4 linked regions of the Oryctolagus cuniculus genome follow. The protein of the gene in region 2 interacts with the protein of the main gene of each other region in a pairwise test. Links are inferred from orthologs where the notes say so. Each region holds a gene or a part of one and is shown on either strand. Other genes may lie near its edges.

Region 1 (3,560 bases), on a different chromosome or scaffold from region 2:
AATTCCCTGCCCAATGGTCCTAAGCCCAGCTGCAGACACTGGGTGAGTCTCCTCCCATACCACACGTGGACACAGAAGTGGCCAACAGATGATGTGGACACATAGGAGGAGCATGTGTCTCCGTGGTGTCGGATGGATCTGGGGATGGGGAAAGAAGAGTGAGGAATAGAAATGGAAGGGCTAGGGGCTGGCATTGTGGTGTTAGCTGGTAAAGCCACCACCTGTGACACCAGCATCCCATTCGGGCACCAGTTCGTGTCCTGCTACCCCACCACGTTCAATCCAGCTCTCTGCTAATGGCCTGAAGAAAGAAGCAGAAGATGGCTCAAGTGTTTGGGCCCCTGCCACCCATGTGGGAGACCCTGATGAAGCTCCTGACTTTGGCCTGGCCATTGTGCCAGCTGGGGAGTGACAGCGGATGGAAGATCTCTCTCTCCGACCCCCCTCACTTTGCAGCTCTGACTTTCAAATAAATAAATCAATCTTGAAAGAAAAGGGCAGGTCACATACAACTAACTCCTCCTGCACTACCATGCATAATATAGAAGAACCCAGAAGCCTCAAGATTCCTGAGTCAGAAACTGCCTCCCAGGACACCTGAGGGTATGTGGGTCAAGACAGAAGGAAAAAAACAAACCTCATTTACAAGTTATGAATCAAGACGGCAAGCTGTAAACATGTGGACAGAGCCCGGGGACCTCCACTTTGTACCCCCAGCCCCTAAACATCGGGCAGGCCTTCCCACAAATGGAACACAATCACCCAGGGAGCCTACCGGGGATTTTCTTGGCCCAGCCGATCATGTGCACCAATTCCTTGTCGGCCAGCTTGGTGAGGGACAGCATCATGGAGGTCTCGGTGAAGGGCGAGCTGGGGCGGCTCACCAGCACGTGGGGCGGCTCTGCCTCCAGCAGGGTGAGCACCAGCTGTTCCGGGCTCAGGGCGCTCAGCAGCACGTCCTTGACGCGCGTCACAGGGCCTCCGTTCTTCCTGGCTCTGCTCGGGCAGTGCAGCTCGCCGGAACTTCTCCGTCTCCGCACTATGCGGTACCCACACCTTTCTCTCCGGGAGCCTGCGGGGCGAAAGCAGACGATGACCAGCATTCCAGCTCCCCGACTGGCCAGGGTGAAAACGACACAGTGACATCACAGAAAGCCCCTAGCAAGTGCATCTTCAGAGCAAGCAAGTCTGACAGCGGAGGCTTCGCTGTGATTATCTGGAGCCCTGGAGGCTTGTACCCAGCAGTGCTCATTACAGGTGTGACATCAGCAACACCAACAACTTCTCAGGTCTCCCCATTTCAGGGTTATCTATGGATACTGAATCCACTTTTTTTTTTGGAAATTTATATTTATTAAATAAAAGTTTTCTAAAAGTGCAACTTTTGGATTATAGCGGTTTTTCCCCCCTATAACCTCCCTCCCACCCACAAACCATCCCATCTCCTACTCCCTCTCCCATCCCATTCTTCGTTGAAATTCATTTTAATTATCTTTATATACAGAAGATCAACTCTATACTAAGTAAAGATTTCAACAGACTGCACCCACATGGATACACAAAGTATAAAGTACTGTTTGAATACTAGTTTTACCATTAATTTGCATAGTATAACACATTGACAGAGATCCTACATGGGAAGCAAGTGCACAGTCACTCCTGTTGTTGATTTAACAATTGACACTCTTCTTTATTACATCAGTAATCACCCGATGCTCTTGTCATGAGCTGCCAAGGCTATGGAAGCCTCTTGAGTTCACAAACTCTGACCTTATTTAGACAAGGCCATAATCAAAGTCAAAGTTTTCCCTTCCCTTCAGAGAATGGTACCTCTTTCTTTGATGGCCCCCTCTTTCCCCTGGGATCTCACTCACAGAGATCTTTCATTTAGATCATTTTTTGCCAAAGTGTCTTGGCTTTCCATGCCTGAGAAACTCTCATGGGCTTTTTAGCCGGATCTGAATGTCTTAAGGGCTGATTCTGAGGCCAGAGTGCTGTTAAGGGCCTTTGTCATTCTATGAGTCTGCTGTGTATCCTGCTTCTCATGGTGGGTCCTTCTCTCTTTTTTAATTCTATCAATTATAATTAGCAGACACTGGTCTTATTTATGTGTTCCCTTTGACACTTAATCCTATCTTTATGATCAATTATGAACTTAAACTGATCACTTTAACTAGTAAGATGGCATTGGTACCTACCAACTTAATGGAATTTGGAGTCCCATGGCACGTTTCTAGCTCTACCATTAGGGGTAAGTCTGAGTGAGCTTGTGCCAAACTGTACGTCTCCTCCCTCTCTTATTCCCACTCTTATTTTTAACAGGGATCAATTTTCAGTTAAATTTAAACACCTAAGAATAATTAGAATCCACTTCTCTTTTAAGGCATGCTGGCATGCCTAAGTTTCCTGAGTTTTTCTTTTTACATTTTAAACAAGTATATTTCAAAAACAAATTAATGTTTAAAAATATGTAACATATAAGTGAATTTTGATCTAAATTCTTTGACTTTTTTATATTTTGTAATTTTCTGTATTTCATACATAATCAGTACATAAACTATTTTATAATCTACATTTTGGGTTTTTATTTAAAACAATTTTACAAATATTTAAAAACTGTATAGCACTCTGTTCTATAACATCATTTACTTATTTGAAGTCTCCTATTGATGAATATTTAGGTTGTTTCTAATTGCTTTGCCAATATTAAATGCAAATGGAAATACATTTTTAGATGCATATCTAAGTACTTCCTTACAATAAATTTGGAGTGAAACTGCTGAACCAAAGCATATACACATTTAAAATTTTAATATATATTGACATAATGTTCTCCAAAAGTATTTAAAATTTTATACTCTGAACAATGGTTTAAAGACTACCTATTTTCTCATATCATGGGACACTAAAAATCATTTTTAATATTTGCTAATCGGACAAATGACTAAGCATTTCTTTAATGAGTAGTAAGGTTGTTGACTAAAAAAATCTGCTTTGTATTTTTTTATTTATGAATTGCCTACTTGCTTACTTTGCCCTTTTATCCTCTAATATATTATTGTATTATTTTATTAAAATGTATTTATGTAATATACAACTTTATATTATATATCTTGTTTTATATTATTTTCCTCTAATGTATTATTATAAAGGTTCCTAATACTGCAGTGACAGCTAACTTTGGTTACGTGCAATATGTCTTGTTTGCTACATAAGCTTTAACGATGCTCGTGGTGAGTTTTTGTCACACCATCTTGTACAAACATTCTCCTTCATCTTCTCAGTTCAAATCTATTTGGAATCTTATGCAGCTCTCTATTATACTGATATTTCATGGTACAGTTTCCCAGATGAGTGCACATTTTACCAATACTATTTATTAAATACGCTTTTCTAAACATTGATTTAAAATGCTTTGTCCTTAATAAATAATGATATATAAAGTATTCTTGTTCTGGATTCTCCGCTGTTTTACATATCTATTCTCCTCTTCCTGTGCTGGTACCAACATGTTTCAGTCTTTACAGGTTTATGGGCCAGAATTCAGAAAATGGAGGTGG
Region 2 (4,307 bases):
GCAGCTGGGTCTCAAACCGGTGCCCATTTGGGATGCCGGCGCTTCAGGCCAGGGCATTAACACACTGCGCCACAGTGCCAGCCCCAGAGAGAACCCAGTTTTCAGGCTGGCATATGGAAGCTAAGAGATAAATGGTATGATCAACATCACACATCCAGGAAGCGACAGAGTTGAGACTTGAACCTAGGTCTCTGGGTCCAAAGTCTGTGTTTTAAAGCTGGGATCTCAGCTCTCGAAAAGCCCAGAACCTTCTGTTGAACTCCGGAGGCTGAACGCAGTGCTGTGCTGGGAAACATCGAACAACACAGTCTGTGCGTCTGCCGATGGCCCAGGTGTAAACACTCCCGGTGTGGCTGGCATCAGTGACATCACAGCGCTCGGAGGTAGGAGGGGCCAGCCCGGGTGAACAGCCCACCTCCTGGGCGGCCAGCGATGGCCTTTAGACACACATCCGTGTCTGAGGAGTGCAGAGGGCCGAGGGACCTGCTCCTCCAGCCGGCTGAGTCCGGGGCAGCCGCGGTTAATCTTTAAGCCAGCCTTGCAAACAGGCGCAACCATTTCACCAGCCCGGGAGGGCTTCTGCTGCCAGCCCTGCCGACGACTTCCGCAGGGACCCGGGCGGCCTCTTTCTCCTCTGCACTGTTTATCATTTGTAAGGCGCAACCCCGGCCACCTCACACCACAGGCTGGGGTAGCTGATGAACTTGAACCTGCTCAGCTGTGAACCCAGATCAGCTGCGGCTCCTGGCTCCCGGCTCATGGTACCCCGAGGCCGCTGCCCGCCACATTCTAGGGAGCTTCTCCCAGCTTTCTGGTGCTGCTCTGGCCGGGCCGGGCCTTGCTTTCCTACTCGTGCAACCAGAAAACTTCCCAGGAAGGAAAGCAGAGGCAGGTGCTGTGTTTCAAGCTTGGTTCAGGCCGGGTTCTCAGACCCCTGCCCTGACTGCAGGAGGTCAAGGAGCAGCCAAGGGCACCCCCCCTCCCCCCCAGCACCTAGCAGGCAGCCGTGGCCAGGGGGTCTCTGTGGCCTCAACCAGCCTTTTCCTCCAAGTCCCGACTTTCTGCCGCTGCCCCGCTGGGTCCAGAAGTCTTGGCTTCTTCAGGCGCTGGGAGGTGAACCTGCCTCCAGGTTTTGCCAAACTCTGCACGTCGGCCACTGGGCTTTGCCTCTGCTTCCCCTCTCAGAGGAACGCAGTGGACCTGCAAAAGTGGACGCCGCTCCTCCCGGCACCGTCCCTCCCGCCCCAGCACCCTCTTGGCAGGTCAAGGCAGGGTTCTTGCCAGTGCCTCAGTGTTCTCATCTGTGCAATGGGGTAACCATCGGTCACCAGGGTGCACTGAGCCACTCAGCTGGGTGCCGGGCGAGCTGCGAGCGCAGCGTCAGTGCAGACATTGCCAACAGCGGGAGAGGCGGATCGGGGCCACCGGAGGGCCGGGGTGCGGGGGCTGCGGGAGGGGGCGCTCTCAGGGCGGGGCGGGGCTTGTGGCCCGGGCCCCGCCCCCGCCCGGACCCTGGCCAGGCCGCGCCTGGGTCCCTCCCGGGTCACCGGCGGGGAAGCCATCCCCGCAAGCTTCCTCCTTCCTCCTGCCGGCTCCCGCCGGCCCCTCCTCCCGCTCGCGCGCCCTCCCTCCCCTTCCCCTCCCGGCCGCCGCCGCCTCCTCCCTTTCTCTCTCGGTCGCTCCGGGCCCGGACTCCATTCCGGCCTGGGAGCCGGCGCGGCCAGGCCGCCGTCAGCCCGCCCGCTCGCTCCGGCCCCGCGGTCCGCCCTCGCACGTCCGTCCGTCCGTCCGCCCGCGCGCCCGCGCGCCCGCCCGCGGCCCAGGTGAGCGCACCCGCCCTCCGCAGGCCCGGTCCGGCGGCGTGGCGGGGGAGCCCCCCTCGAGACCCCTCCCCCGGTGTCCGATCTCCCGCCCGGGGCCCCTGTGCCTCCCCCCAGGTCCGCACCCCCAGCCGAGCCGCGGCCCCCGAGAGCTGGGCGGACGCGCGAGGCCGTGCCCAGCGCGGCCTTTTGTTGCGATGCGGCGCGGGGAGGGGGCCGGGCGGGGGTGCCGGGGTCCTGTCTGCGCGGGGACCCGGGGGGCTCCATTCTCCCTGTGGATCCCCGAGACGCGGGCGAGCCGGGCCGGCCCCGGGGCCAGGTCTAGGCCACATCTGAAATCAGCGCGTCGGCGTCCCTCTGGCCCCCGCTGGCCGGCCTGGCTCCCAGCGCCCCGGTGGGAGATGGGGGCCGGCAGAGCCAGTCGGGGGCTGCGGTCCGGGCCATCGGGACCCCGCTGCCCTCTTGGGGCCTCAGGTAGGCCCTGGTGCTGCTGGCCTGGAGGGGACTGGGCCAGACAGCGCTGGATGCCCCCAGCCTCACCCCTGAGCAGGCCCAGTCTCTGTGGGCTTTGAAGTTGACAAAAGTTTTGGGGTTTCGCCACCCGGCCTGTTCCAGTGGGCTGCCTGGGCAGGGGCTGGGGGTGGTGTGAGTGCCCATGGGGGCCACTGTTTGCTCTGCTGTGTGTTCTCCCCCAGCTGCCAGCCCTCTCTGAGCTGGGGCCCTCATCAGTGGCAGGTGGGTCTGGCTGGGGCTGCCCAGCCTGGGGGGAGATTGGGGTGAATAGAAGGGGCTCACCTGTGTGGCCTGGGCAGGGTTTCCGGTGCCTCACTGGGTTCTGCACCTTGGGGAGCGTGGGCCCTGGGCCCCCAGGGGCCCCTGGGCTGAGGCCAGGCCCCGCCTGCCTGTGACTGAGAGGGGACTTGGTTTTAAGGCTGGGAGGGTGGGCTGTTGCCCAAGGCTGGGGTCCAGACACCTAGCCTTGACTCGCTGGGTGAGCCTGGCCAAGGGGCTGACCCTCGATCCCTGCGTGGGCAGCGGGTTCCTAGGGTGGCCGGCCTGTGCGCTTCTGCATCCAGGGCTTGGCGCGCAGTAGGTGCTCGGTGAACTTGGAGTTGGGCTGCTGACCCGAGCGGGCTCCCGGCTTCAGAAGAGCATGGACCGGGGCCCAGAAAGGCTCCTCCTGACCCCTAGAGAGAGCAGCAGCCCCGTGCCGCCCTGCCACCCAGCAGCTGCGTGACCCCAGGCAACCCACGGCTCCCTCTGGCCTCAGTCTTAGCAAATGGAAAATGGGCTGATGCGTGAACGCCTCTCGTTGATCCTCGGTGTGCCGACGGGGAAACTGAGGCTCAGAGGGGGGACGTGACTTGGTCAGGGCCACACCGTTGGCAGCTGCCCTTGAACCTCTCCAGCCGCTGCCCCGTGTGGGGCCAGGCACGCGACAGTGGCAGAAGAGACGCCGCTGCCGAGCCCTGGGCTGGGAGCCACGAGGCCCTTCTGGTGATGTGGTCTTTCCACAGCGTGTCGCCTCCCTCAGCTGACTGCCTGCCCCGTCTGCCAGGAGCACCCTCTCTCCTCTGAGCGGCTTATCTGCTCCTGGGCTTGGGCCCATCCTCCCGGGAAGCGAGGCCCCAGCCCGCTCTTGCCTGTCCCGCTGCCCTGCGTGGAGCCCGAGTTTTCCCCAGGGCTCAGCCTGGCTCCTGCTCGGGCTCCTTCCCTGACTGTGACCTGGGGGATCTCCCTGGTTCTCACTGACCGCGTGTCCCCAGACCTGCCTAGTGCAAGTTCTGGCACCCCGTATTGAGCACCTACTGTGTACTAGGAGCTCTGAACCCAGGCTGAGCAGGACTGTGTTGGGGTTGACAGTGGGAGTGGTGGGAGGCACTGGAAGGCTTCCAGGAGGTGGTGTGCCTGAGCTGAGCAGGGAGCAGGGGTTCCCCGACAAAGAAGGAAGAGGGCGCCCCCCCACCCCGCCTCCTGCTCACACACTTCTCAGGGACCTTGGGGCCGTGGGCGTGGCCAGCCTGGTGGGGGAGTTATGACCAGGTCCTTGGCCTTCCAGAAACTTGAATCTGGAAGGTGAACCAAGTTGCAAACAAGTTGCCAGATAAATTAATATATAATCGGAGATTGTGATAAGGCCTGGAGAGAGAGGCCTGGCGTACAAAGGAGTCTTGAGAAAAGCATGTAGGAGTTGGCCAGGCGTGAAGCCAGGGTAAGGGCTTGCCAGGCAGCTGAAGTGCATGTGCAAAGGCCCTGGGGTGGGGGAGGGTGTGCTGTTGTGGGCACAGAGAGGAGGTGAGCAGGTAAGAGGTGAGACCAGGAGGTGTGGCCTGTAGGACTGGCGTGTGGGTCTGAGCCTTCAGGTGGAGGTTGGCCATCCCATGCCAGACGGTACAGAACTGACCAGGGCACCTGATGGAAGTAGGTCTCCTACGGCACCGACTCGGGTCTTGCGAGGAAGAGGCAGGTGTGGCTGGGCTTTCGACG
Region 3 (4,261 bases), on a different chromosome or scaffold from region 2:
TGCCCACACGCCTGTCAGAACCGGGGCTCTCCCTGGGCAGCAGGGATGCACTGTGGCGCCTTGCTCTGGGAACACTGCCGGGCCTATTCCTTGGCACGGGACCGGCTGGGCAGGTTTGTAAGGCATGACACACGCAGACTCTCAGAGCGGCCCACGCCGCCAGTCTCGGCCAGCCTGCCCGCCCCCTCCTCCCCCGCTTTAAAGGTGGGACTTCCCAGGAGGTCTTGACGCGCCCCCACACCCCATGCCGCAGTTGCTTGCACCCCGCATGTCTGGGGACTCTCCAGGGAGCCTTCCCTGACCACGAGGACGCACAGGGAGGGCAGTCTCCCCTCCACACGCCCTCACCCTGTACCACTTCCCCAGTGGTCACAGCAGGCCAGAGAGTCCAGGCAGCCTCCCCGTGGCGCTGGTCTCCACCTTGGGCACCACTGCCCCAGAGCCTGATTACAGCGACCTGTGTCCTCTATCCACAAGGCCAAGGTTTGCGGCCCTTCCCTTCCTGGGTGTTAACCTGCACGCAGCCTGCCTTCTTGTGGGACGGCACAGCGCAGAGGTCTGGAAAGCCGTGCTGAGAAAACGCAGAGGCTGCAGATGCTGAGCAGGGAAACAGGAAGCGTGGGGCTGGCCCCGCCGTCCCCCGAATCCCCAGGGCAGAAGAGGAGCCGCAGGCCTCTGTCCCTGTGTGAGGTACAAGTGGGGCGCTAGCCCAGGGTGAAGGTAAGTCACCCCTGGGGCCTGTGCCACCCCAGCGACAGCATGGGGCTGGCTGTGACTCCCGCGAGCAGCCTGCAGCACTCGGCCCCCACGGGGAGGGCCCGCGCAGTCCAGTTGGTGTCCCTTGTCCTGGCTGAACCAGCACATAGCGCCGCTTCCAGTCTCAAAAGTGTCCCGGTTTGGAGGCTAAATCACAGTCACTCCAGCACACCCAGTATAGTAGGGCGGCAGCACGGGGAACAGGTACAGAGAGCAGAGCACAAATGGACGAAGGTCCTGGTTCAGCCACAGATGGAGAGCAGCGGGGGCCAGCCCACGGCCACCGCCTGTCCTCACTTCCCAAACCGGCTCATACAGGGACCATGGGAAGCCGGGCCCCGTCGGTCTCTGCCCAGCAATGGAGCAGCAGGAGTTCCGGGGGCCGGTCTCGGCCTGGACTCTCTCCCCATCTAGGATAATCACCTGGTCCAGGCCTTCCTCCCCTGGGCCGGAGGCTAGACACCTGCTCTCTCCCTGGGAGGAGCTGAGGCAGTCCTGTTGGAGCTTCCTCTGGAGCCGAGTGCAGAGGAGACCAGAGTGGCACCACTCGGAGAGCCGTGAGTACAAGCGACCGGGGCTCCCAAACACCACGCAGGCCCTCCACAGCAGCCTGGGCACACGGGCGGAGGAGAGGGGCCTGGCGGCTGCGTCTCTCTCCCATCTCTCCTCCAGCTCGGCAGGTCGCAGCTGATCAGGGCCGGACAGAGCCCAAACCCTGACCCCGGTCAGCGCACAGCCCGGGAACGCTGAGCTTCCCGCACTTTCGGTCAGCGCTGTGCCCGGCTGGCCTCCCAGGTCATTCTCCAGCAGCTCAAAGGAAGGCCCTAAGTGGCAGCCGTGGGCTCTGGGCCCCGGCTTCTGCTGGGGAGCCTCTCTGGATAAAGCTGCAGTCTCACTACCTTCTGGCTCGGCGGCTGGACAGCGAGGGGCCGAGGCTGGGCCCCTGCATGCGGCGCTGAGCTCACAGAGTCCAGAGCCCAGGGTGCAGAAGACCCACCCCCACCCCGGCCGGGCTCCCACCTCCCTGGCAGAGACACCATGGGGCGGGACGCGACTGCCCACCCTCGCAGAGGGCTGAGATGTGAATTTACACAAAGCCACATCTTTCACCACGAACCCCTTCTGGAACCAGCCCACAGCCAGCCCCAGGCTAGCTGTAGCTGGCCCCCTCCCACCCCCTGGCCGGCAGCAGAGGGCTGGAGCAGGACTGAACTCTGCCCAGCGCTTCTGCGGTGTTCGGGACATGCCTGCCCAGCTGCCTGCCAGGGCTGCGGCCCCTCTGGCTGCTCTGAGCACAGACAGGAGGCTGACTCACTGGCGCATGGAGGAGGAGGTGGTGAGGAAGGCGGGCCGCGGCTCCCGGCCGCTGGGGCAGACCCGGGAGGGAGAAGGAGCAGCTATCCGCCGCCCCCAGTCCCAGACCCTCCCTCTGCCGCTCCTCACCCCGGCTCCCCTCACTGCCCAGACCGAAGCTCCGCCCTGAGCCTCCGGGGCTCGGACGCCTGCCCGGAGCTCTCCTGGACGTCTGCGGACAGGCGCTCGCGAAAACAAACCAAACGCACCGGAACCCACTGAGGGTACTTAAAGAGAAGTCCCGAAAAGAAAAATACTTGGAAGACCTAGATCTACTATCGCAGGTGACCACACGTGGGCTCCGCAGACCGCGAGAGAGGCGGCACCGGGACCCTCCAGGTCCGCGCGCACGGCCGGGGCCCCACTCCCGCTCCCGCACCGCCGCACCGCCGCACCGCCCGCCGCCTGCGACTCCCCAGCCCTGCAGTCCCCCTGCGTCAGGTCTGAGGGTCCCGGAGCCCGCAGCTCGGTGCCAAGTATGCCCTGAGACAGGCTCCGGAGCCGGCACTGCGCTCAGACGCGGAGCGCCGACGCCCAGACGCCTGGACCCCCGCCCCGCCGCTCCCGGGTCCCACCTGTCCGTCCGGTGGGCTCGCGACTCGCGGTCCCGGAGCCTTCGCTCCGCGGCTGCCTTTTGACAAGCAGGAGGGGGCGGGGTGGGGGTGTCCGCCTGGCACCTGGCCCCGCCTCGCGCCCGGACCCGCCCTGCGCCCGCCCCCGCGGCTCCGCCCCGACTGGGTCGGCCACGCGCTGTGGCCGGTGGACTCAGCCTCGCGCGCCTTTGGCCGTCGGACCGCACCTCCGCCTGCCCGCCACTGTGGTGCTCGCGGCCCCCCTGGGCGGCCCACGCTCGCGTGGTCACCGCTCCCTGGCCGGCCTCAGCCTCCTGGCCCGAGGGCCAGATGCTCCCCAGACCTGCAGTAGTGCCGGAAACGCCCCTGCTGCTGCCCTGCTGCGGCCTGGGCTCTGGCTGGGTCGCCGGCAGCTGGTGGCCTCCATTAGGCACGGAGGAATGGGTCGATGGCGGTCTCAGAGGGGCTCGCTGAACAGGGGAACTGAGGCGGGGCGGCTGTGATTAGTCCCCAGCACCTGCTGCTCGCTGGGAGTGAGCAGCTGTCACCCCTGTCCTCTCCCTATCCAGGTCAGCGAGGACCCCTGGAGGAAGACCCTGGGGGGGGGGGGCACTTGTTCTTGGGGAAGAGCATCGGCCTGGGTTTGGTTGGATTTAGGAATAGACCCTCACCCCGGGAGCTGCAGCCTGGTGGCTGGAAATTGGAAAGACCCCCCCCCCCAGCATTCTCAGAACCCAGCAGCCTCTGAAGGGGGCGGGCCTGCTGGCACCTGGCAAACAGGGCAGGGCGCGAGCTCCCCAGACCGGCTGTGCCACCCCACAGCCCCGGGTCACAGCAGTGCGCAGTGCGCATTCTGTGCAGAGGTTCTAGTGTGTGGTGGGCTCCAGGGAGTTTCTTGTTGGGTCCTCGTCACAACCTCAGGTGGGTAGGACCTGCAGCGCCGACAAGCACTGGGAGTGACAGGCCACCCGCCCAGGCCCCCCCTCCCTGCCCTGTCGCCCACAGCTGTAGAGAACGCAGAGGCTCTGGGTTTGCAGACCTGCAAGGTCAGCTTTCTCTGGTCCCCAGCACTGTGGCCCCATGGCCGTGTCCAAAGTCAGGTTCTTCTCAGAGTCCCCCAGCTCCTGACTGACCTCTCCTCTCCCGGGTCCTGCCTGCCTGGCAGCTCCAGGGCTGTCTGTGGCAGGACCCGCGTGCCATGTGCCTGTGCTGGATGATGGCATGTCCTGGCTTTACTTGGAATGGGACTTTTTCTCCTTACAAGAATGGCCGTTCTGTGCAAGTGGGAAAGCCAGAGGGCATGCGCACCTCCACTCCTGCGTCCTGGTGCCCTCGCTGGTCGCCTCCTGCTCTCCCCTGCCCTGCCCGCCGGGAGCCTGGCGGCCGCCAGCACCCATGCACTGCAGAGCCGTGGCTGGCCGCTTTGGGTGGAGGGCTGTGAGCCCCGCACCAGAACCTCTGCAGGAAACACCCTTTCCCGTTTCTTGTGTCCTCCTGGGATGCTCAGATCACAGTTTGGGTCAGTGCTTGAGCTGTGTGCGAGATACTGGGCTGCAGGGCGCAGAAGCCAGGACGCCAGG
Region 4 (3,478 bases), on a different chromosome or scaffold from region 2:
CAGCGTTGTGCATCTGGGTCCGGTTCAGGGTCAGTCCATCCGAGAAGGTCATCGTGTCCTGCTCGGGCGTGTACCGCGTGCAGATCCGCAGGATCTGGAGGCCGAAGACGCACAGGTGTAGGGATCCAGCCCCAGCACTCCAGGCCCAGCGCACCCCAGACGACCACCAGGCAGGCAGCCAGAGTGGCGCTGTCCAACCAAGTTCTCTACCCTGATGGAAAGCATCGGGGTCGGCGCCATCCCCATCGGCAGCCAGCAGCCACAAGTGGCCGTGGAGTCCCTGCGATGCGGCACGGAATCGAGTTTGGTGTTAATTAACAGCCGCCCCGCCCGCGAGAGCAGCTGCGGGCCTTGGCGGTGCGGGCGGGCCTGGGAGTTTAAGGGAAGCCAGAGTTTGCAGGAGGTGCGGAGCGTGGCGGGTTGAGGGCTAGTTTCCAGGACGAGCCACATGGGAGCGGGTAGTGAATACATGCCTGCTTGACTGTGCCTCCTGCTTCTGGGGCCTGGGGCTGTGAGGCCCCCGTGCAGAACCCGAGACCTCCCACCCCACCAGCTCCTCCGCGGCACAGAAGGAAAACGTCAGACTGCTCAGATCCCAGGTTCCGCACCCAGAGGCGGCCGAGAGGGAACCAGCAGACTGAGGCCCGGTCGGGGCGACAGAGCAGAGTCCTCCTTCCAGCCTTGGTCCTGACAGTCTCCCTACTACCCCACATCCTGCCCTGCCTGTCCACATGCAGGGCTCCACCAACTACTCTGCCTTCCCCCGAGTCAGGCAGGTCTCACAGCAGCAGGCCGTGCGTCCATCTGTCCGCCTCCTGCACCCAAGTCAGGGACCCCCCGTGCCTCTCCTACAAACCCCTCGATACTTCCTCCTCCAGGACGCCTCCTCGGGGGCAGGCGGCCACGGCCTCCCCACCTCCACGCGACCTCTGCTCACGTATGTGTTGCCCCTGTCACACGGAAGCTTTCGGGAGGGGAGGTGGTGGCCAACACCCCAGTGTTCCCGACAGCCAGCAAGGTGCGCGGTGAATCTCACGACGCAGTGGGCGGATGGATGGAAGGGCCGTTGGACAGACGGGGTGAGGCCGGGAGACGCACGTGTGGGGGAGTGGGGAGGCTGTGCATAGCAGGACGCAAGCAGCCAAGCGGGGAGGTTAACTAACTACGGGGACGGGAAGAGGTGGGGCCCCAGGGCAGGCAGCAGCTGCATGGCTGGGAGGCCAGGGCACAGATCCTCACCAGGATGTCCAGGCAGGCAGCCTTGAGGAGGGTGATCTGGTCAGCGATGGTGAGGGTGGTGAAGCCGGGCAGCTGCTTGGCAAACTCCACGGTCTTGATGATGCACTTGGTGGAGAGTTCACTGAACTTGTCCCAGAGGTCGATGTCCAGGGAGACGCGCTGCTCTGAGCTGTTGTTCTGGGGGAGGGGGAGAGTGAGGCCCTCTGTGGACTTCCCCGCCCCCCACAGGTCCCCGCAGAGGGCGGTGGGGCCAGAGGAGGGGTGCCGTACCGTAGTGTACTTGCCCAGCTGGCAGAGGGCGGGGAAGGTCTCCTGGTGCGCTTTGCGCACTTTCTCGATGAGCTCCCCCACCTCCGGCGTCAGCGTGTAGCTCTCGGAGCACTCGGGCTTGGGCGCCTCCTTCTTCTTCTTGTTCCGGTCGTTCCGCACAGCTGTGGAGGGCAGGGGCCGGGCTGGAGGACAGCTGTGGCCACAGCCCGGCCCTGTCCAGAGCTCTTCCCACCAGACTGACACCCGCTGAGGAGGTCACGGCGCTGGCCATGCACACGCATACACGGTATACACACCACACACAGCCAGACGCCCCCACCCCCACCCGCCCCACATGCACACACCCACAGTCCTGCAGTGGCCTCGCACACTTGCCCCGTAGCCATTCCACACCCCAGGGACTCGAGGGCAGCGCCCTCCTCTGTGCCTGGTCTGCCCCCAGGTAGGATCTGCACCAGCCCTCCCGGCAGGAGTCCCTGGGGGCGCCTGGGATAGGCTAGGGAGTAGGGTCCCCCAGGATGAGAGTGGGGGCCCCGACAGGACAGTCTCTTGGCCCATTAGCCGGGGAGCTGACAAATCACCGGGGGCGCTGAGCCGCACACACCGCTCGGCTTTAAAGAAGCGATGGGGTCGTTACCAGCCGATTATCCCAGACACACAATCACTCACAGGGCCAGTGGTGGCGGCTGCTGACGAGGGAGGAAGGGAGGTGGGGGTGGGGGCCCGGGGAGGGGGTAGTGGGTGGGGGGGCGCTGGCATAATTTGGAGATCACTCATGTCGATTCTGCAAATTCAATAAAGTGAAGGGGAGAGAAGGGAGAGGGAGAGGGAGAGTGGGGGGATAATTTGGGAAGAGAAAATTGCAGCTGTGACAAGACGTTTATCATTCGGAAGCTTTAATTCTATTGAAATGGCAGCTGCTCAGCTCCGGGGCACAGAGCAGCCAGCCGGGAGAAGGGAAGGAGGGAGGGAAGGGGGGCTGTTGGTGGGAGGGAGAGAGGGTCCCCACCCTGATCCTGCTGCGATGAAAAGAGCGGAAGGGGGCGCAGAGGGAGGAGGAGGTGACGGCCTTAGGTGAAGGGTCCCGGGCCTGTGGGTCCCACGTTGTCACCCACTCTGCATCAGGAAGCCATGGCTTCCCGGGGGCAGGACAAGGCAACCGAGTCTCCTGTGGCAAGAGGAAGCAGGACACTGCAGGTCCCTCTGCTCCTGTCTGGGCTACTGCCTGTGATGTGAGTCAGAACCACTCTCCGCAGTGCCCCCTCCCCACCTCCCTCTTCACTACCCTCCCCACAAAGGGCTAGGGGGTCCTGCAGACCCCTCCCCCTTCTTCATCCCCCAAGGCTCAGGCTCCATGGCAACGGCCACGCAGACAAGGAGGCGTCTGTCAGCGTCATTTATCTCTGACATCATCAATCACTGGTCACCACGGCAACACCCATGATTCAACACAAGAGGGTCTCCCTGTCCAGCCCTTCCCTCCCTTCCTCCCTCCCTCAGGCCTCAGCTGAGCCCAAACGGAAGACCCCATTTCTCTGGGACCTGAGAAGTCCCAATTCTGTCTTCAAACTCCAGATCTTCAGCTTCACCACATCCTGGCTTTTCAATCCTTATGCAAAGCCCTCCAAACCCACCCAGCACCCCTCGGATCCCAGGCCTCTCCCCTAAGACACACGCTCGGAAAGGACTCAGGGAACCCTGGGAGCAAAAACACACACACGCACATGCAAGGACACACAGCCAGTCGCACATGCACACTGGACCTGCACACACACACAGCCAGCCAGAATCTCACAGGTCCCTGCAGCTTTAGCCACACGCCCCAGCACGCATGCTCAGACACACGTGCACACACAGCCACAGGGCCCAACGGCCCGGCCTGCAGGAGCACCACGGGCCCCACCCACGGCCAGTCCGGCCTCCGCCCGTGGCACTCACACTCCTTGGACATGCCCACTTCGAAGCACTT

The links.
Region 1: the proteins of SRC (region 2) and ESR2 interact in a two-hybrid assay, tested with the Homo sapiens proteins (2 studies listed by BioGRID). The link is inferred for Oryctolagus cuniculus from reciprocal best matches to the Homo sapiens genes SRC and ESR2.
Region 3: the proteins of SRC (region 2) and VDR interact in a two-hybrid assay, tested with the Homo sapiens proteins (2 studies listed by BioGRID). The link is inferred for Oryctolagus cuniculus from reciprocal best matches to the Homo sapiens genes SRC and VDR.
Region 4: the proteins of SRC (region 2) and RARA interact in a two-hybrid assay, tested with the Homo sapiens proteins (2 studies listed by BioGRID). The link is inferred for Oryctolagus cuniculus from reciprocal best matches to the Homo sapiens genes SRC and RARA.

The regions. Positions count from the first base shown.
Region 1 is NC_091451.1:6,196,680-6,200,239, reverse strand, and holds part of ESR2 (estrogen receptor beta), read right to left. Parts: intron 1,073-3,560; coding exon 776-1,072; intron 1-775.
Region 2 is NC_091442.1:21,212,527-21,216,833, reverse strand, and holds the start of SRC (proto-oncogene tyrosine-protein kinase Src), read left to right. Parts: upstream 1-1,498; 5' UTR 1,499-1,823; intron 1,824-2,274; exon of another isoform or gene 2,275-2,294; intron 2,295-4,307. UniProt on the Homo sapiens protein: Non-receptor protein tyrosine kinase which is activated following engagement of many different classes of cellular receptors including immune response receptors, integrins and other adhesion receptors, receptor protein tyrosine kinases, G protein-coupled receptors as well as cytokine receptors.
Region 3 is NC_091440.1:137,519,045-137,523,305, forward strand, and holds the start of VDR (vitamin D3 receptor), read right to left. Parts: upstream 2,801-4,261; 5' UTR 2,685-2,800; intron 1-2,684.
Region 4 is NC_091448.1:22,122,800-22,126,277, forward strand, and holds part of RARA (retinoic acid receptor alpha), read right to left. Parts: coding exon 3,448-3,478; intron 1,671-3,447; coding exon 1,510-1,670; intron 1,417-1,509; coding exon 1,240-1,416; intron 95-1,239; coding exon 1-94. UniProt on the Homo sapiens protein: Receptor for retinoic acid. Retinoic acid receptors bind as heterodimers to their target response elements in response to their ligands, all-trans or 9-cis retinoic acid, and regulate gene expression in various biological processes.